4 linked regions of the Caenorhabditis elegans genome follow. The protein of the gene in region 3 interacts with the protein of the main gene of each other region in a pairwise test. Each region holds a gene or a part of one and is shown on either strand. Other genes may lie near its edges. The genes, in order: tufm-2, zip-8, unc-101 and R03C1.1.

Region 1 (4,018 bases), 8.3 Mb from region 3:
GAAATTTCAAGTCAATTGAAATAACAACTTTTGCAAACATTTTTGATTTGATTTTTTATTAATATAATGTAACACTACAGTTATGTTTTTTAAAAATTTCTCTACTGGCGGTACTCCATCTTTCGACAAAGTGTGCGCCTTTAAAGAATACTGTAATTTAAAACTTTCGATGCTGCGAAGTTTTTATCGATTTTTCATAGTTTTTCTTACGATTTGTTAAAGTTTATGTTGTTCTATTTTAGTTTTTAAAAAATAAATAAATGAATATACTTTTTGCAAAAAACTATGAAGAATCGACGCTACAGTACTCTTTAAAGGCGCGTACCATTTTTCATTAAACAAAAATTGTCGTGTCGAGACCCAAATCCACAAAATTTGGCGACTTACTTTTTCAAGTAATCCTTAACATCAGTTTTTCCCCAGAGGAAGTCGTCGAGCTGTTCGTCGACTCTCCCCGACATTTTAAACTGGAATTAAAAAATAAATTATTATTTAATACGAAAATTAAAAATAAAGATATTAATGAGCAGATCAGGTAAAACTGCTATTAATAGGAGAATGGTATTATTTGAACAATAAAAGTAGTGAAATATTATTCGAAGATTTCGACAAAAGAAAACAAAAACAAAACAAGATATAGTAGTTAACAAGCTAATAAAATCTAACCTAAAATAAATCAATACTGTAATATATAAAGAACTACATCTTTTCAGCGGACTTTTTAAGATTATGTTTCTCTACAGCCACATGATCCTCTAGATCTGAGATGATTCCTCTAGCGATCGTTGTTTTACTGCTTCCTTCTCTCAATGTAAACGGCATTCCTTTTCTGAGTGGCATGTCTTTCATCAAGAGTACTGTAGCAGAAGTATGTTCTCCTGGCATCAGAAGCTCATTGCTCATATCGAAACGACCAACTTGATCCCAAGTACTGCAGTACATTTTGTCTGTGAAACCAGTCCGAATTCCGATCTTCCTGCCATTTTCAGCCTCCGAGAGAAGATAAAGTTCCACTTTCACTCGATTCGTAATTGTTACTGCTCCTGGATGTCCTGCCCACATTCCTCTCTTCACTGTATCCCCTTTAACTCCTCTACACAGAACTCCACAATGATCTCCAGCACGAACTTCCTTCACACTTTTGCCAAAAACTTGGATATCCGAAGCAGTCGTTTGAAGAGTTTGCCCGTCTCCTTTGATTTCAACTTTATCGCCTTTTTTCAAGACACCTCTTTCCAGTGTACCGACGATGACTGTTCCTGAAAAACATTTTAAATTGGTTTTTTTTTAAATATTAGGGGTGGCAAAAAATGTCATTTATTGAAATTTCTTGCACTTTTTCTTGCAAAATAAATTCTTGATTGGCACACCTTATATTTCTTTTTTCAATTACCTCGCCCAGTGATAGCAGTTTTCGATGCAATTGGCATTACAAAAGTATCCTTTTCATTTCTATCCGGCTCTGGAAGTGAATCCAATGCATCAATCAATCTCTCGATACACGAAATATCTTGTCCTTCTAGAGCACTTAAAGCGGAACCTCGAATAACTGGAGTCGCATCTCCATTAAAGCCATGCAGACTCAACAATTCCCGTGCTTCCATTTCTACCAAATCCAGATCATCTTCTTCAACCAAATCCGCTTTATTGATGAAAATCGCCATATTTTTAACACCAACTTGCTTGGCTAGAATCAAATGTTCTTTGGTTTGCTCCATGACTCCGTCGGTTGCAGCAATCACAAGAACAGCCACGTCCATTTGTGAAGTTCCGCAAATCATATTTTTGATGAAATCCGAGTGACCGGGGCAATCAGTGTGGGAATATCGACGCAGAGGACTTTCATAGCCGATATGAGCGACATTGATTGTAATTCCACGTTTCTTTTCTTCTTTTCCCTTATCGATTTCGTCAAATTTAATATGCTTCGCAAAACCTGCAGAATTGAATTCATTTGTGAATAATATAAAAATTAATTAAACCTTTTTTAGCCTGAACTCTTGTGATTGCTGATGTTAGAGTTGTTTTCCCGTGATCGATGTGTCCAATAGTTCCCACATTTACATTGATTTTTGGCGTAGCAGCTGCAGTGGCAAAGAAAGCGACGGCATTTCGTGTGATTGAATTACAAAATGAAGATGTTGAGCATCGATTGAATAGTAGAGATCGTGTGAATGCCGACAAAGCAGCGGGGTTCATTTTACCTATAACACCGAGAAATTCATGTTATAATAAAATCGGTTATAACAATTTTAGTAACTTTGAAACCATAGAAACCTGGAACCTGAATTTAATTTAAAAAATTCCAAAAATTGCGTGGCAACTCATTTTGTCCTCGAGGAGTACGCGGCCGCGTGGCCTAGGAAGTAACTAGGTCACATGTTGGTTGTTTATTATTTTTATTGTTTTCCATTTTTCTCTGTCAATTCTCGAATATTTCCAATGGCAAGTGATCAAAATGCTGCCGAATCGATAGCCAAAAAACTAGCTCAGGTTTGTTTTTGCTGAAAAAGAAGATTGATCATTTAAATCATTTCAGGAGGAAGAATGGCTACAGAATTTTCAAAAGAACATCGCGAAAAGCGCGCAGATACGACAAGGAATCGAACAAGTTGTTGAAAAGTTTGATCAGAGATTGAGCTCTCTTGAAAAGAATGTGCTCCCGATGCATATTTCGAACGGGAAATTGCAAAAGAAACAGCATAGTATGTCAATTTGGCAGTTTTCTTTTAAAAAAAAGAAGATATTTTCCAGATATCCAACGTCTCATCAATACAATTGACGCTACTCTTCAATTTTACGGAAAAACTAGCACTGTTGAGAATGCAATAAATAGTGGAAATCCGTCCGTCGATCTCGACCCTTATCTCGAAAATATGGAAAGTCTGCAGCAAGCAATCATATTTTTCGAAACCCATCCAAATTATCGAAGTCAAACGGATAATATGAGAATCACACTGGACACTGGATATACAATGCTTGAAAAAGCTTACAAGAATTTTCTTCTGAAGAATAGTATTACCGTGGATCCGGCACCTTTTGTAAAAAATGAATTGACACCCAGATTGAGTGAAATCAAAATTATGACCGATGAAGAACCGATAATCAAAATTGGAGTTTGGCTCCTGAAGCAGCCACGTGTTCCTAATAATTTTCTGGGTTATTACTCTGAAATTCGTGGAGCACAAATTTTGAAGAATATCAAGAGCATCGCAGAAGCACAGAAATCATCGCAACTTGCTTCCAGAAGTAAATTGTAAGATTGAGTGTTTTTGTGTGCGCCAGTCATACAGTACCCGGTCTCGACACATTTCTGATAAAAAACAAAAAAGATGTGTACCTTTAAAAATGAATGTAATTTCAAACTTTCATAGTTTTCGATTAAAAAAAAGTACTTTTTTAATTGAAAAAAGCTTCAGAAAAGCTTTTAAAAAATTAAAAAACTTAAATTTCGACAGATCGGACTGATACAAACGATAACAAAATCGATGAACATTTTCGGAACTAGAGTTTGAAATTACAGTAATCCTCCAAGGCGCATAATTTTTCACAATTTGTCGTGTTGAGGCCGGTATTTTTGACGCAAATTTTCACATCTCGATAAAGAACACGGCTGTTGGAAAAAAAAGTGTTTTTGACCAAAATAAAAAAATTGAAATTTGCGAAAAACCAAAAAAAAAAGCCAAAAAAAATTGATGCCTGTTAAAAAAAAAACCAAGAAAGAATGAAATTTTTTTTTGAATTTTTAGTCTTAATAACCAAAAAAAAAATAAATTTTTCTTAAAAATTCAAAAACAATGTCTCAGCCCTGGTCTGAAAAACTGAAAAATCGAAATAAAAGTTATTAGAAAATTAACAAAAATTCCAGCTATTTCTCGATAAATCGAAAACCAAATATTTTCAATTTCTCAAAAATTCAAAAAAACATTTTTTTTAGATCCACAGCAGTCCGCAAGCCCGTCCAGCGATCCGAAAAAGTAGATGTCCTAATTGATTTGGATGCGTGTCATGCCATGTG
Region 2 (4,623 bases), on a different chromosome or scaffold from region 3:
ACAAAATAAAATATTAGAAATTTCAACCGACTTTTCAGATTAAACAAATGTCGGACAAATGTTTTTTGCAATGTTGTGACTACCCAGAAGATTGTCAAAACTTCCTTTTTTCAGGCACTGGCCAATTTTAAATAAAATTTTACCTGAAAAAGTTTAGTGAATATTTGAAGAAATGTGGAAGTACGATAAAAGGTTTTTCATGAACGCTTTAGAAAAAGCTTTTTTCTATTTCTGGCGGTTCAGAGTTTTGAGAAATAGCTAAACGTATCCTAAATTTTCGATTGTAACCTCTAATATCATCAATAGAACAGTTTGAGTATCGGGTTTTATAATTTTGAGAAAAATCTGCAGATATGATTTAAACATTTTAAATTTTTGTCTGAACCATGGTACCAGGGCGTGAATTAGCAGCCTTAACTTTCCCCTTTTAATTGTTCCAGTGAAATCAAGGTTACCAAAACATTCCCATGTCCTCGAGGCCCTCACTCTTTCCACATGCCCACTTGTAATAAAATCAAAACAACTGTAGACTTTTGTACTTATATGCAATTTATTAGACATGCAGTATTAGACAGTAAGGTTAAGAATATTCCTTATTATTATGTAAACTTATCTAAAAATCCCCATTCAGGAATCAGAAGGTGTTCTCCATTGAGACCTTCTCATCATTTTCCTGGTGTTATCCTAGATTTATATGTCAAGAATTTCAAAAAACAAAAATAAGAATAGCCACAACTCTCAGAAGACCATAAAACCGATACCTACTTAACTGGGAATTGGGACACAAAAATATACATGAAATTTCTCAATAGAGGGAATGAAATAAATTTAAGAGAGAAGTTCGTATTTGTATGGCAGGTTGCAGTTGGTCATATCACGAAGTGGTTGCGGAGGTTCGAATTTTGAGTCCGCAAATTTGTTGTTCACCATTTTCAGCATTTCGTTCTCTCGGCGGTATGCTTCTCGTTCCTGAAAAATTATTAGCTTTTGAGGTGCATAGTGAGCTTTATTTCTCTTACGATAGACATATCTCGGATCGTGATTTGCATCTGAGCCAATTCACATTTTGCTTGCTTCAGTTCTTCCTCTAATGCTGCGTTTTTCCTTTTGAGTAACTCATTCTCTGTCTGATTCTTCTGCTCTCGATGTTTTCTGGAGGCTCGTGACTTCTTTGCAGCCTCATTATTCTTCATACGCTTTTCAAGATATCTGAAGAAAAAATATCAAGTTTTTTGAAACTCTAAAAGTAATCCTTGGCGGATCGTGGATCGTCTGGAGAGTCGATTGGCACGTGTCTTTGCAATGTTGTTGTTGAAGAATCTGAAAATAATGTAACACCCCCTCCCCCATCCTCCCATTCTCATCCCAATGTTCCTATGAGTAACCTTTCTTCAAGGCACCCTCCCCATCTGAATTCCGAGGTAAAACTTACTTTGGAGATCGTTTTGGGTCGATCTTGCTGCCATCACTCATTGATTCATCGGATCCGCCGGAGGTATTTGGAGAGCGTGTGAAGTCGAATGATACATTGTATGGATTACTGAAAATTGAAATTTCCACATTTATTCTACAAAATATTTTACAAATTTCTACAAAAGAGGAGCACTATCGGTTATCTGGGGATATTTATGGTGGTTCTGGTATCAGGGTGGTTTTTTGTCAATACATATCAATTTCCTGAGTTAAAAAAAGGAAGATTTCTGAATTGTTTTAAATCTGACGTTCTGATTACCATTAAGGAAAGCATTTCTAAACAATTCAGAAATCTTCCACATTTTTTAAAATCACAATATGATTTGTATCGAAAAAACATCATTTTTGGATGATACCACCAACCAATTTCGCAGTGTAAAATAAATATTAAATTGTTTATCAACACTTTGCTTGCAAATTAAACTATTCAAAAACCCTGTGGCATCTTCACCTAAACTATCGTGGTTGCACACGTATAAACAAAGATAGTTTCTATTATTAGAGGGAAGATCATACTGAAATCTAAATTTAAAATCTAGCATCAGATATCAGGCACTCCACAACCGGTTGCCTACCCCAATACCTATAATTATGTGCAAAAATGTCATATTTAGCGCATATTGACCATCTGTCTGTGTCGGCTCATGGAACACCTTGAAGACAGTCTGTCGTGGCAGTTGCCCCTTGCCACGTGGCAATTTAATAGCTCAGTCGAATGTGCGTCTTTTACTCTATCTACTGGCTAAGATCCTCTATAGTAATTTGGTGATGTAACGGCATCTATTCCAATTTTGAGCTCTTGCAGCTAGAGTGTTTTTCAAATTACAGAAAAAAAAAGGTATAGTAGAAAATTGTAGAGTCATGTACTGAATTTTGATAACTGAAACGAAAGACTGTAGAAAAAACTATGCTACAAAAGTTTTTACACTAGCTATAATGTGAGTAGTATATTGTTCACATTTTCCGTATATTTTGAATGGCCAAACTTTGAACATTTTCCAAACGTTTTACAACATGTTGACCTCTATAGCCAAACCGACCAATCCAGAACGGCTGTAATCTAGGCCATCTCGCCATGAGCACATGACGGGGACAACGGACGATGTGGCAGTGCGAGATGGTCTCTACTGTCTTTTGTTTTGCAGAAGAAAATACTTGACACAAAATTTAAAAAACCGAAAACAACTACAATAATCTCAAAAATTCTAAATATATACATATTTAGACTCACAAAGCAGTTGCAGTTGCGTACGCTGGATGCATTTGCCATGTTGGATCGAATGCCATTTGCGGGTAGTGTGCTCCTTGCATGGTGTTGCTCATATTGTTGGACGTTGTTAGCTGAAATTATAGAAAGTTTGAGTACTATCTTCTTCCCAAAAGAAATTCAGAAAGCCATGCAACGAAAAAGAAAAACAAGGAAAAGGTGAAAACACTTCCCAGAGAGCTGGTTACGTAACCGACCGTCGCCGATCTAGAAAAGAGTCAGGTGTGATGCAACGTCGGGTGCTGGCGGGGTGGCCTCGACTCCGCCCACCCGAGAAGTTTTGGGAGAGTGCATAGGAGTTCTGGAGAGCGCAGAGAACACCCGCTGGGAACTCTCACAGTATCTATCGGGTCTATCTGGAACGGGAGAGCAGGAGAACATATGACCTACTACACGGAAAACAATGGACCGTTGATGTTTCTTGCATAGAGAGAAGTGAGGGAAAAGAGACTGAAAGGGTTGGAAGTTCTCAGATAGATTTGCGTCAACTTTTGTACAAATATCATCTAAACTTAGTGGGATTAATGGTGTTTTAGATATTAAAAACAGTCATAGAATTACGTGGAAAACGTTGCATATCGATTGCGTAATGTTTTTCCAAGTCTGTCAATTACCAATGTTTCTTTGGAAATCTAGTTAATGACAGTTTAAGTGAGAAATGTTTTATAGATTAGTATTCCCAAAGGAAACATTTTGGTAAAATGAGTGGCGCGAACAAAATTCCCTGGAAAGTAGTCTGAAATTTTCAGATTTTAAGAAGATGAACCATGACTTTAAAAATAGTTGCTAGATATTAATCCATCTTTTCTGATTTTTTTTTCAACTTTTAAATATCTATTTTGTGTAAAAACTTTTAAATATTAGTTTTTGTACAAATATTACAGAATAAGTTTTACGAATATAAGAATTGATTACAATAAGAGTCTTTAGTATTCATTGAGTAACATTTTGAGTTCCAATAAATTAAATTCGAGTTTGCAGGGAATCTTTGATCAATTCTTCTCTCCTTTTTAAAATACATTTATCATAACGTTTTCTAATTTTAATTTCAAATGTTTCAAAGCTCACATTTTTATGCAGTTTTCAAAGCTCTTCATCTGTTAACTTACAATGAACAAACACAATTTGTTCTTCTGACAGTTTAATTCCATGTGGTCACCTTTTTCGTCTCACCTTCCTAAAATGTCAAAAAACACCTGTAGTTCAATTCAGGTTCGATTCCCCATCCTGCCCAATCAATATAATTGTGAGTGCACAAACCTTAATTTTTGGGAAGGTTGTTCTATAACCATCGATGTCTACTTTTGGTAGACAGTCTGTATTTGTAGACGACAAATGTTTCTCCTCCTTTCTGTTTTTGGATTGACTGTGTGTTTTTTACTTGGAAACTTTGACTGTTGTCTGAATTTTATCATTTTGAAGGTAAAGTATTGAATTGTATTCACTACTCTATATTTGGCGTTTCAGAAATGTTTTCTTGTCTTTCGAGTTTTGATTTGACAACGCCAAATGTCGCTTACTTTTTGCCACTATGTAATTTTCTTATATATCCGTTATTATCCATCTATCAATTCACCAGCCTTTCCCACATTTCCCCCATATTCCGTGAAAGCCAACAAATAAAATTGGTAAGTATTGCGTGATACTATAACCTCGACTAATCTGGTCATGTTGCGCAGTGCGTATCAATTTGTTATAAGGAAAATAACAATGCAATAGGTGTTGCATGGATAAACATAGAATAAGGTGAAATATCAAGTATGTTGAAAATTGCGGAAGTTTTTTCGTGGATTGAGTGTTCCTGTAATATTTGATTAACTTTATTAGCATTTAGTTTCAAAATATAGAAACATATTAAATTGAAAAAAAAACAATTTCAGTTT
Region 3 (7,577 bases):
AATTAGCAAAACCTACCATTTTCCAAAAGTTTTTCGAAAACTTTTGCCGATTCCTGTCTGGCAAAGGAATCTCGACCGGGAATCACAAAATGTGTGCCAGTTTTCTGGAAAAAATTGAATTAGAGTTGGAAATTTGAATTTCCCGCTAATGCAAATGCGCTCCAATGCAAAAAAAAGTCCAAAATTAGGGCAAAAATTCAAATTTCGCGCCATAAAAGCGTGATGCAAGTGTGCCCCAATGCTAAATCTTCAAAATTTTCAAATTCCCGCTTTGCCGAACCTTCAAATCGTCCACAATTCGATCCATCAACGCATTTGGCGCAAAAGTCCGCAAAGTGTCGTCAGATGTGGTGCATTGACGCGAAAATGCAGAAATTCGCAAATTTCGACGAAAAATCGGCAACAATCGGCGCATTTTCTGGCAATTTTTTGCATTTTTTTCAGTGATTTTTCTGGAAATTTAGACAATTTTTGAAATGGAATTTTTAGCCCCCGGAAAACATTTTGTAAACAATTATGACAGAAAATTTATTGATTTACTGAAAAAAGGAAAACGGGAAAAATTGATGAGGATCCATGTGGTGAGAAAATTATGCTGGTGGGAAAGGGAAAAAACTCGTTTTTCTGGAAAAAATCTAAATTATGCGATAAAAATCAATAAATAAATCGGTGGGAAAAATAAAATAAAAATTTTCGAACAAAAAAAAATAGAGTTCGGGGTCATCAGGGGAAAGAGCACACACAACACATGTTTTGAGCCGGGGAGCAGCTCGCGGAGCATTAAATTTTCACAGAAAAAATTGGAGATGTTTGACATTAAAAGAGGCAAAAATTGATGGAAAACGGGGCCGTGGCCTAGGATTTTCGAAAAGTTAGGCCACCACTGGAAGCATGGTGGCCTAGACCTCCAAATTTTCCAAAAACTCGGCCACGGTCGTTTTTCACCAATTTTTCATAAAAAATTCCAAAAATTAAGAGTAAAATTGGGAATAAAATACAATAAAATATGAATTTAGGTAATTTTTTCAGGAATTATTTCATCCGCATCTCGTATTCTCCATTTTGAGTAATGTAGCGGACCCACGGCAATGCTTGATATCCACTTTTCTCGATGATTTTCAGATAACGGACCTGAAAATTTGAAAATTAGGGTTTACTTGGTGGAATTTATGGGAAAAATTGAATTTTCAAGCCTTTTTTTTAGAAGATTTTATCACCCTTAAACACCAAAAAATCACATAATTCTCAATTTTGAGCCGTTTTCTCCGTGGAGCGCACTTGCAATATGTGGTAGGCGGGAAATTTGAATTTTTGAGTTAAAAAGTCAAATGTTAGGTTTTTTCGAGAAATTTGCATCATCTTGACGCAAAAAAATCACAAAAATCTGCATTTTGAGCAGTTTTATCCGTGGAGCGCGCTTGCAACATGCGGTCGGCGGGAAATTCAAATAATCTAGTTGAAAAGTCGGATTTTTAAATAATATCATGTGTTTAAATGAAATTTTCAGCATTTTAGAGCGAAAAAATTACATAAATCTCAAAATTGGGCAGTTTTTGGCGGTGGGAAATTTGAATTTTTGAGCTAAAAAGTCGAATTTTAAGCGAAAAATTCGGCTACCTGAATGCCGCTGGTCGTAAAATACGGAATTTCAAATTTGACTTTAATCGGCGGCCGTCCTTCAGACTCTTCACTCATCACAGACGGTAGAGATAGATGGGCGGTCAAAAGGTACTCTTTTCCGCCGGGAAAATTCTTAATAGTCCATACGAAGGCCGATTGCTCGGGCGTATACTTCACCGAACCGATGCTTGTCTTGAATTTCGGTGAATCAGCGTCCGACGGGACTGGAATAATGATTTCCACGTTATTAGCAGTGGAGCGCCGTTTGAATTGTGATTTCGCTTTGATTATAAACGAGACACGGCTGTGACTGTGACGTTCGATGCTTGTCTCGATCCAGATCAGCGGCTTCACCACGGTTGTTAATCTGAAAAAAAACGGTATTTTTCGAGAATTTTCAGGAAAAATTGGAGCTTTTTGAGGTAAAAATCGAGTTTTTCGACACAAAATTGAGGCATGGCCTGACTTTTTACCTGAAAACCTAGGCCACGCATGTAAATTTGCTTTTTTTTTATTTTTCAGTGTTTTCAAGCTAAATTTGGCCTAGTGATCAACTTTTTAGACTCAAAATTAAGGTGTGGCCTAATTTTCTACCCGAAAACCTAGGCCGCAGGTGTATTTGACTTATTTTTTAAGAAAAACCAACAATTTTGATCCAGACACACAGTTTTCAGCAAAAAATAGAGTTCGGCAACGAACTGATCAGTGGTGGCCTAACTTTTGCGAGAAACTAGGCCACGAGTGGAAATTTGCATGTTACGTGTTCCATTTGTTACAGTTTTAACGTGTTTTTACAGAAAAATCGAGCTATTGTAGTAAAGAAGCCGAGTTTTTAGCCAAAAAATAGAGTTCGGCCATGAATTGGCCAGTGGTGGCCTAACTTTCTTGTAAAATCTAGGCCACGTATGCAAATTTGTATTTTTCTAGAATTTTTCATGTTACTGAGCTCTTCTTCGTCTGAATAACGAGTTTTTTGACCTAAAAGAACCCAAAAACAGGAATCGGCCTTTGGTGGCCTAGTTTTTTCCGGAAAACCCTAGGCCACGTAAGCAAATTTGTATTTTCTACACCTTATAATTGTTTTTCGAGCGTTTTTGGCATAAAAAAGCAGAAATTAACTCGAAATTACAACTCGGCCACGAACTAGGCTATGGTGGCCTAACTTCCAAAAAACCTAGGCCACGTGGGTAAATTGGCATTTCCTAGGATTTTCTGGCATTTTCAGCTTTCAAATCGAGTATTTAAGCCAAAAAATAGACAAAATCAAACTTCGGCCACAGATTAGAAGTCGGTGGCCTAACTTTTCGAAAAAACTAGGCCACATCACTGAATTTCCGTCAAAATCATGCGAAAAACTCGATTTTTCGGTTAAAAATCCGATTTTCTCCACTTTTTTCGTACCGATAGCTCATAAGCTCAAATGCTCCGTCGGGCGGTATGAAGGAGATCGTTCGATCCGTGTCAAAACGCGACAGGCGTACACATTGATGAAATTTCACGTCTTCCAGTTCCACAGATTTGCTTTTTCCGCCTGAAAATCGAGAATTATCAATGGGGCGCGATTGTAGCGGTAGGAAGTTTGAATTTCAAGTTGCAAACGCGCTCCATTGCAAAAATTTAAAAAAAGTCGCATTGGAGCGCAATTGAAAAACGCTAAAAACTTTAAAATTGTTGAATTTTAACAAAATTTTATCGATTTTAGGGTAAAATTGCCTGAAAAATCTCAATTTTCGCATAAAATTCGAAAAAACTCACGTCCACTGCCCTCAAAAAGTACTTTATCGTTAAGACCCAGCCGAAGTTCAGGCATTCCGGTAAGATAGACACGCATTTTAACGCTTCCAACAATTTCCGATTGAAGTACGGTACCGTTGGCGCTGGCCAACATGTTCACACTTTCGATTACGTCCAGGAAAACCTCGTTTTTTCGGTATTTTATGCCTTCAGAGCGCCATGAGACGGCATTTGTCACTGCCATCGGGGGACGGGGTGCCGAAATTAGTTTTTGACCTTCTTGTGTGATGTATCTGCAAAAAATTGGGGGGTTTTTTGATTGAAAATTGAGGAAAAATCGATGATAATTTTGCACAAAAATTCAAATTTTCGAGTCGAAAAACACATTTTGAACAGGAAAATTGCGCTCCAATGTGAACTTTTGCGATTTTTGCATTGAAGCGCGTTTGCTGCATGTTGAATGCGAGAAAATTGAAATTTTCAATGAAAATTCAAATTTCCCAGCTGCAACCGCGCTACAGTGCAAATAATCGCAGTGGAGCGCGTTTGCAAATAGAAATTCAAATTTTCGAGACAAAAGACACATTTTGAACAGGAAAATTTGAATTTTTGAATTCCCCGCCACTGCAAATGCGCTCCAATGTAAATTTTTTGCGATTTTTGCATTAGAGCGCATTTGTGATTGGAAATTCAAAATTTTAGGGTCGAAAATACATATTTTGACCCAAAATTTAAAATTACTGCTATCGCGCGCTGCAAATGCGCTCCAACGCTAATATTTGGCTATTTTCGCATTGGAGCGCATTTGCAGCAGAAAATGAAACGATTTTTCGTGCGGGAAATTCGAATTTTTGAGTAATTTTTTTCAATTTTTCTCGTTTTTCCTCCTTACTCTTGTAGAATTCGACTCTCAGTCGTCTGTGGGAACCCGAAATCCATCATTTCGTCCAAAAGTTCATAGATAACGACAAAATTGTCGCGAACCGACTCCTCTTCGACATCTTTGAAATATTCGGAGAAAACTTCGACGCATTTGTACAAAAATGACAAAATCATTGTGACGTTGACGTTTGAACGGCATGCTGAGACCACTGAAATGAGGGAAATTTGAATTTTTGACTGGAAATTCTGGAGAAAATGACTGAAAATCCGTTAAAAATGGGTGTTTTATCATTGGAGCGCGCTTGCACCCGCTGTCGGCGGGAAAATTTCCGGAAATTTACAATTCTGGCTCAAAAATCGTGAAAATATGTCGAAAAAGTGTGAAAAATGACGAATTTTTCGCAATTTATCGACTTTCTGGCAGAAAAGCTTGATTTTTGAAACAATTTTGCTCCTTTTTTAAGATTTTTACCACATTTCAAATAAACTACAAAATGGAAAAATTACGAAAATCGCAGTTTTATTGATTTTAGTCAATTTTTACGAATATTCGGCTTTTTTTGAATTTTAGCACTCGGGAATTCAGAAAATCAAGGAATTTTTGAATTTTTCTGACTTTAAAATCAAAAAATTGAATTTTTTTGGGTTTTCCGTTATTTTCAAGGGATTTTGTTACTTTTCACTGTTTTTCAACTCATTTTTTAGTTTTAAAACGTTATTTTCAATTTGAAAATGTTAAAAACCACAAAAAATTGCACTTTTTATCGGTTTTTGGCTTGAAAATTCAAATTTCTGACCAATTGCGTCATTTTCAACGGATTTTCTTCAATTTTGCCATTTTTCTATCTAATTTTTGATTTTAAATTCAATTTTTCACACAAAAAACCCACAATAAATATTTGTGTGCTTGATAAACACGAAATTCGTGTCCTGATAGGTCAAAACGGGCGCTGCCGAGCCTTCTTCCTCTTTTTCCATGAGTAAATGAATGAATTTATCGATTGCCGTCATGTCGATGTCTCCGCGATAATTTCGAGAAATTATCGTCTGAAAAATGCGAAAATTGGCATTTTCCGACGTGAAAAACACTAAAAAACTCACTTTTCCCTTCAAATCCAGTATAAACATGGCGGAAGTCGCCATTTTCGACGATTTTTTGCGATTTTCTCGTTAAAATCGTCAAATTCCACGTGGCAGCTACTGGAAAATACTGAAAATCCGGAGAAAATTAGCGGAAAACGGAGGAAAATCGAAGAAAATGAGTGCAAAGATGGATATCGGCTGCTGGCGGGCACGCCCTCTTGCAGTCTGCAGTCTCTTCACTTTATATACTCTCTCGGCGAGTGACGGAGCGGCAGCAGCGGTGCAGGAGGCCTTGGAGACGGATTAATTGGATGGAAAAGGTGGAGAATTTGGTTTATAGCGGTTTTTTCGCGAAAAAATGGAGAAAAATACCGAATTTTGCAAAAAATCGACTTTTTCGTCGGAAAAGTGCAAAAAATTAAGTGAAAATCGACGAAAATCGGTTAAAATTCTATTTTAAAAATTCAAAACTGAAACCAAGGGAGCAAAATTTAGGTGTGCGCCTTTAAAACTACCGTACCTTATTTTATTGGACAATAATGACAAAAACTGGCAATTTCCGCCAGAAAATTGAATTGAATAATTTGAAAATTGAATTGAAATAAAAAAAATTTGTGTAAAAATACTGGAAAATCAGTTTAAATTCATTTTTCTAGTAGAAAATTCCACAAAACCACCAATCGCTACGAGACTCAGAAGAAATATTTAGGCATGCGCCTTTAAATCTACCGTATCCCATTTTTAATAAAATTGTGACGAAATTTGAATTTCAGGAGGAAAACTTGGTTAGAAACGAAAAAACGACGAAAAACCATAAAATTAGCAAACAATTATTTTTTAAATGTAAAATTCCACAAAAAGCAATAACTTTGGTAACCTCGATAAGTTTCGGTGCATGCGCCTTTAAATCTACCGTAACTCATTATTTTTTTCCAGCGGGAAAATTAAAATTTTTAATTTTTGTTTAAAAAAAACCAAAAAACTCTAAAATTTTTAAATTTTATGAAAATTTCGTTTTCAAACAAGAACCCATCAAAGTTTATTTACAAAAATGAAAGTTTATTTCAATGAATCATTGCGTATATGAGAATGTTGAATCCAATCTACCATGGATAGCATTCTCCCGGGCAGGATTGAAGGATGGTCTCGAAGCGAGAAGTCTCGACGGACATGAGGACGGTGTAGGTGGTGAGCTTATTCAGGTTGGTGCGGGATGACAAGACGTTGAAGATTCCCTCGAATCCGACGTTCTTCTGGGTCAACTTGTCCATGCAACGGAATCCCGGAGTGTCACGGTCGTCAAGGTAGAGGTCCTGGAAGAGGGAAATGTTGGATAAGTTAATTCCGGATAGGTTTTGACAGATTTTTGATCAAAATTTCTAGCTAGGAGTTCGACCCACTCAAAAAAAGAAGCTGGGTTCAAAATACTAGACCTAGGCCTAGAGAAGGACCTCTCCTAAAAGTTGGGCCCCTAGATCCGTCTACCAGAACCTACTCTACACCTTCAACTCTAGCATCTCTCACCTCGGTTCCCTGATCGTAGTTGGTCTCCAACAGGTACCATCCGTGTGGGGATGTGGCCATCTCGGTGAGAAGTGCGGTCTTGTCGAGACTTCTAGCGATGATGCATCCCTCGTCCTTCTTGGATCCTCCGAGAATGAAGTAGACTGGTGAGAGCATTGGAGTGTTCATCAAGTGCTCCTTGGCGTCGAGGTAGGCTGAAAGCTCGGGATATAGAGCCTTTATGGATCTCAGACGGATCTAGCCCAATGGATATTAGAAGCAAAGATTAGGGACACTTGAATCTAAGCCTAAGCTTCCTGGAAATCAAAGCTTCCGAATTCTAAGGATCTAAGTCATCAAGAAAACAATTCAACTCACTGGTCTTAGTCTCGAGGGTCTCTCTTGCCAACCAGGACATCCATTTTCCGTCGGCCTCCAATCCGAACACCCACTTGAGAATACCGTAGTATCCTCCGACAAGCTGGAATCGATCGTCAGCAGTCAAGGAGAAGGCGTTTGGCTTGAGACCGTTGTAGATTCCAATGTATCCGGCAAAGTTGTTCGACTTGTACAACAGCTTTCCGTCCTTGAGCCAGTTGACGTTGATGATCATCTTACGAAGCTTTTGCGAGATTTGCCAGTCGTGAAGAACTGGGTCCCATCCCATGAAGAGTCCGAAATCGAGGTTTCTGGCGTGGAAAACGTGGCCGTCCTTGTCCTGAGCGATGACCGATGTGCAAACGGTGAAGATCTCG
Region 4 (5,222 bases), on a different chromosome or scaffold from region 3:
CAGGTGTGGTTCCAAAACCGTCGTACAAAATGGCGCAAGAAGGAAGCGGCCGACAATGCACTGGTCAAACGTGGTGCCAGCGGCGACAAGTCTCCTTGCTCACTGAGCCCATTTCTCAGCGCTGGAATTTAGCTTTTAAGCGTTCTACCTCTCCCCCTCCCTTCAACCGAGTGTATTATTCCCCCAATTTGTTTGCAATTTTTTCCTGAAGCCCTTTAAGAAAATCCAAAATCATGACCTTCTTCCGTCTTTACACCTGATTACCTGAATACCAACACCCCACACAGATGCCATGATCTCTCGTCTTTTCTCGTACTTTTGTATAATTTTTTTCTTAATTTTTTTGCATGTTTTCCCATAGTTATAGCCATTTTTTTTTCTTTTTTTTTCCAAATCATCGTCACTTATACAAAAACCAAACTCCCTTTTACCGTTAAACCATGCCCAAATACAAAAAATTTCCCATTTAATTGTACGTTTTTTTCTCTTCAAATTGGATTCTAATGACATAAATTTATTAGATTAAGTAATCGTTGAGGCATATTTACAGATACCAAATATTGTGGGGAACACGAAAAATTAATTAATTATCTATTCGAGTTTCGTTTTGATCGTCTGGAGAACGTTCATGAGCACGTCGAGGGTCGATGGTTGGGTTTCTTCGGCTTTCTGGAAAATTGAAAATGTTTGAAATTTATAAAATTGGCCTAGAAAATGCCTATGTGGCCTAGAAATCCCTTGTGGCACCATGGTCTAGAAACTACGTCAGTGCCTAGATCCCCTAGGAACTCCCCCACCTACCTTGTAACTTCTGAATTTGGACTTCAAGCAGCACACATTCTGAGCACACTGGTCGTATTGTGGAAGGCACGAGCAGGCGGTGGTAGGCACGTTCACGTACATCACACATGTGGTTGTCAGCGGGTATTGGGTGGCCGCGGTGTCGGCATATTGAACCGGGCTTGAGGAAGTTGGCATGGTTGGGGCCTGGGTGGTTGGAGCCTGGGTAGTTGGGACTTGAGTGGTTGGCTGAAAATTGTAAGGGTAAATTCGAAAAATTGAAGGGTTATTACCATTGGTGTCGGGGTGGTCTGAACTGGAGCGTACTCGTAGGTGTCGTATTGAACCTGAAAATGGTCAATTTGCAAAATAGTCGGTGGCGCCGAGCAGCCGACAAATTGCGGGTTCCACCAAACCCCGTGAATTGTCGGCTGCTTGCTTTGAAATGAAAATTCAAGTTTCCATGCTATCATGCCCTCATGCTCTCTACCTGTTGCTGTTGTTGTCCTGGCTGTGGGCACCCACAGTACGCATTTGGTACAGTAACCATCAACGTGGCACAGTTACACCTGCATCCACACCCGGACATGACACTGGTGGTCGGATCAAGACAATAGCACGTCTCTTGTCCGGTGGCCAACTGTCCGATGGCCGGGTATACGGTAGGTGGCTGCGCGGTGTACATGGACGGGTTCAGGAGTTGGGGCGCTTGCGTCAGTGGTGCTGGAGTTGTAGTTGTTGAGGTGGTTGTGGTGGTTGTGGAGGATGGTGCTGGCAGAGTTCCGGGGATCGCTGTCTGGGCACCGTACTCGATGGTTGGGTCCTCGTAGTCGATGGTGTGCTGTGTGGAAGTTTTAGACATGCAAGTTGTGTGGGCACACATGCGGTTTTTATTGGTGGCCTAACTTTTGGTGGCCTTGTTTTCTTAAGAACTTGGTCTTATTTTTGGAAGCCTTTGCTTCTACACTGGCTGGCCTAGTTTTTCTAAAATGATACCCTAACTTTGCTGAACTAGTTTTCCAAAAATTGTGGCCTAACTTTTAGTAACCTAGCTTTCTTGAGATGGTCTAACTTTTGGTGGCCTAGATTCTCTAAGATGCCAAACTATCAGTTGTGAAGAGCAACCAATAGACAAAAGGCTCGGCTGCTTGTACATAACTCTCTAATTTTGATAGATACAAAAAAGTTGCCAACTGGCAAAATACAGCTCATTTTATTTATTTGCTAGCTCTCATGGCTGCAGAGTTATCACGTTTTTAATCTGTGAACAGAAAAATTTCATGCGAAGAAAGTTCATGCACTTTTCAAATAATTTCAAATTTCCAATTCAAAAAATTTACCTGTTGCTGCTGTTGCTGCTGTGGTTGAGCACACTGGCACTGATACTGAGCAGTTTGTGGGCTGGTGATACTGATCATAATGCAGTTGCAAGCCCCATTACTTCCCTAAACGATTCTAAATTCTAATACATCTGGGGGGTGCTGCTGGGATATACCTGTGTCTGAGTTGGCACTTGCGGGTAGGAGACTGGCGATTGTGTAGTTGTAGTGGAAGTTGTGGTTGGGGCTTGGGTGGTTGTGGTGGTAGTGGTGGTGGTGGAGCTTGTGGTTGGAGCCATTGTGGTGGTGGTTGGGAGCTTAGATTTCAGAGTTTTAGATATTCAAAAAATGATTAGAATCCCCCTACACCATCCCAAAAACTAACCGGGTTTCCACTCTGATCTCCGCACTGGCAGTTGTATTGTGGGGCTCCTTGGATGACAATCTGGATGCATCCACAACGGGCTCCGCTCATTCCGGTAGTTTGTTGGGACATTGCGGTGAGCTGATTTGCAATGTCAGCCGACTGGGGAGCATCATATTGGACACCGGATCCGATGGAAGAAGAGGAGCCATCCTAGAAATGATAACTTGTTAGTAAATGTTATCTCGAATCTACAGTGGTGCTACAGTAATCTTTCTAATAGTTCACCTAGTTCTCACATTAGCTAAAGTAGTCTTAAAAACTAGGATGATAAATTCTTTAAATGTTATGGCGCTTCATCAGTAGTGCACACTACCGTTGGAGGTCGACAGGATGCTAGAAAATCGGCTTAACCATACTACAGTAGTCCTAGAAAAAACTTCATCGACAGTACCGTTGCATGTATGAATTAGTAGTACTATATCGATATTAAAATAATTATACTATAGTTAAAAGTAGCACAATAGTCTCTAAAAAACCAAAACTTACAGCTGGTCCCTTTGCACAACTGCACGTGAGTCCACCATTAGGATTCTTGACGCACCGGCATTGCTGACGCTTCGAGCGGACGATGATTGGCTCGTCTGGAGCAGCAAATGTCTGAAAGATTCTTGTTAGTTCAACTCCTCAAACTTTGCGCCATTCAAAAACTATATAGCCATTTTCCGTGAATGCCAATTAGAACAAGAGACCTATTGTGCCCAACTAGTCTGACTCATTTTGCGCAAAGTGCCCAAGTTGAGTCAATAGAGTAGGAACTATTCAATTCACAAGTTGGAAAATAAGCGGGGGGAATCAAGTTTTAGACACTCACCTCGACCAGAAGGGCTCCGATGCACACAAGAATCAACAGGGACGACAGACGGGACATGGTTCTGGAAATTAAATTATTGTGGGGGGTGGAGTAGGGGAATGTATAAAAAACATTGAAAGGACCGGGATTCCCCGGTCCGGGAAGACCGTGTCTTGGAATTCAGTTTGAGCAGGTAATAATGTGTAAGTAGCATAGAATTAGTGAGTTATTGCATTATTGTTGGTCTCAGCAATCTGGAGGACCCTAGTGAATTTTGGAATATTATGTGCTAATTGCAGTATAACATTTATTCAAACCCACAGTCAAACTGTAACACTAAAATGAAACTTATATGCTACTCTTAAGGTATGATATTAGTTTAATAAGTACTATGTATCATTTTAAAATAGCTATTTATAAATATTTACACCTTTGGTAGGTTAAACTGAAAGCTACTGCCAAAATTTTTATAACATGTTATTAATTTAAGGTATGTTCGTTTGATAGTGTTACATATATCTAACAGCAATAAATTTGAAACTACAATTGTTATATGTTACAAACTCTTTTTGATGTATAAAACGTTAGTTGTCAAAACCATATAGTTATAAAAATATAGGTATAGTATATTCTAAAAGTATATATTAATTGGAAGTAGAAGTATGTAGTAATTATTTTTACTACATAAAGTAATTCTTTGAACCTAGTGCTACAAACTTAAAATATGAGTTTATTTTTGAAACTATGTAAGTATTTGAAAATCTAAAAAAATTGTAGTTAGACACTTTCCGGTAACCGATGAATGAAAAGAGAGTGTGAATGATGAGTGATTCCATGAATCTGGATCCATTTTATAGCCACCCCCTGAATCCCAAAAGGCGTGTCCAGGGATGGATGGCAACTTTTTGCGCGCGCTCGCTCGCTACTTCCCACGTGTGGAGCATTTTGCCGCCTCCAATTGTATTGTATTCATCTTTTCTCTTCATTCAACTGTAAACAAGCCGCCGAGCAGCGCGCGGTAAGCGTTTTTCATTCCGCATCGTTTTCTGTATCGAATTACTATGGTGCCAACAACCTAATACTGGTGGCTCCGCCTTTTTGCCAACAAGCTTTTGTATTGTATAGAGCAGTCATATTTGAATGAGGATGCATGCATAGGGGGAAGAAAAAGTTCGAGGGAAAAGTGAGTTTTGTGCTTGGGCACAGGGATCTTCTGTGAGGTCATCAAGTCTAGACATGATATCTTCATGTCAAAGTTGATGGGGATCTAGGATCTAGTTGTTAATTCAATATTTGAAGTTTTGAATTACAGGTTCAATAAGTAACTTAGAAATCAAAATGTTGAGGTTAACTAGTTTCTATATAGCAAACATTTTTTGAACACTGTAGGAATACTACTGGTATATTTAAGATACCTCACAGGCGTCTGTTATGACAAAAATGTTTATAAAATAACTTCAACTCAGTAATTAGAGAGCATGCCAACGAGGAACCCATGAAACTTTGACTCCAGATAAGACATAATAGGGGTGAGCGGCAATTGCAGTTCGGCAAATTTCGCCAAATCGAAAAATTGCCGGTTTGCCGATTTGCTGGAAATCTTCAATTCCGGCAATTTGCCGTTTGCCGGATATTGAGAGGGATTTTTTAGAGACGGAAACTCTTCAAAACTTCCAAAAAAATGTGCAAAATCCTTTTTGCCGAAAATTTCCGGTGAATTCGGCAAATCGCCATTTTGCCGGTTTGCCGATTTGCCGGAAATTTTCAATTCCGATAATTTGCCGATTTGCCGATCTGCCGGAAATTTCAATTCTGGCAATTTGCCGATCTGCCGGACTGATATCTTTGTACCCAACGCTGATCCTGAAAAAAACTAAAACGACGGTGGTCTGGATATTTTTAATTT

Evidence for each region.
Region 1: the proteins of unc-101 (region 3) and tufm-2 interact in a two-hybrid assay, tested with the Caenorhabditis elegans proteins (3 studies listed by BioGRID).
Region 2: the proteins of unc-101 (region 3) and zip-8 interact in a two-hybrid assay, tested with the Caenorhabditis elegans proteins (3 studies listed by BioGRID).
Region 4: the proteins of unc-101 (region 3) and R03C1.1 interact in a two-hybrid assay, tested with the Caenorhabditis elegans proteins (3 studies listed by BioGRID).

What each region holds. Positions count from the first base shown.
Region 1 is NC_003279.8:4,245,942-4,249,959, reverse strand, and holds tufm-2 (protein-synthesizing GTPase), read right to left. Parts: upstream 2,208-4,018; 5' UTR 2,200-2,207; coding exon 1,983-2,199; intron 1,937-1,982; coding exon 1,394-1,936; intron 1,260-1,393; coding exon 700-1,259; 3' UTR 545-699; downstream 1-544. Other genes in the region: cogc-5 (Conserved oligomeric Golgi complex subunit 5), read right to left, coding at 388-461; exoc-7 (Exocyst complex component 7), read left to right, coding at 2,380-2,493, 2,540-2,705, 2,755-3,256, 3,938-4,018.
Region 2 is NC_003281.10:6,477,152-6,481,774, reverse strand, and holds zip-8 (bZIP transcription factor 8), read right to left. Parts: upstream 2,815-4,623; 5' UTR 2,797-2,814; coding exon 2,705-2,796; intron 1,541-2,704; coding exon 1,433-1,540; coding exon of another isoform or gene 1,429-1,432; exon of another isoform or gene 1,210-1,428; coding exon 1,020-1,209; intron 970-1,019; coding exon 829-969; 3' UTR 532-828; downstream 1-531.
Region 3 is NC_003279.8:12,506,357-12,513,933, reverse strand, and holds unc-101 (AP-1 complex subunit mu-1-I), read right to left. Parts: upstream 5,636-7,577; 5' UTR 5,380-5,635; coding exon 5,338-5,379; intron 5,284-5,337; coding exon 5,127-5,283; intron 4,446-5,126; coding exon 4,247-4,445; intron 3,648-4,246; coding exon 3,376-3,647; intron 3,152-3,375; coding exon 3,022-3,151; intron 1,988-3,021; coding exon 1,618-1,987; intron 1,132-1,617; coding exon 1,033-1,131; 3' UTR 514-1,032; downstream 1-513. Other genes in the region: mter-4 (Mitochondrial transcription termination factor family protein), read right to left, coding at 17-104, 281-415; asah-1 (Acid ceramidase subunit beta), read right to left, coding at 6,423-6,632, 6,844-7,037, 7,201-7,577. UniProt on the Caenorhabditis elegans protein: Component of the adaptor complexes which link clathrin to receptors in coated vesicles. Clathrin-associated protein complexes are believed to interact with the cytoplasmic tails of membrane proteins, leading to their selection and concentration.
Region 4 is NC_003280.10:14,907,008-14,912,229, forward strand, and holds R03C1.1 (Cell wall protein DAN4), read right to left. Parts: upstream 3,399-5,222; 5' UTR 3,395-3,398; coding exon 3,338-3,394; intron 3,124-3,337; coding exon 3,013-3,123; intron 2,677-3,012; coding exon 2,485-2,676; intron 2,417-2,484; coding exon 2,276-2,416; intron 2,226-2,275; coding exon 2,121-2,225; intron 1,622-2,120; coding exon 1,271-1,621; intron 1,128-1,270; coding exon 1,074-1,127; intron 1,030-1,073; coding exon 802-1,029; intron 670-801; coding exon 592-669; 3' UTR 501-591; downstream 1-500. Other genes in the region: cog-1 (Homeobox domain-containing protein), read left to right, coding at 4-132.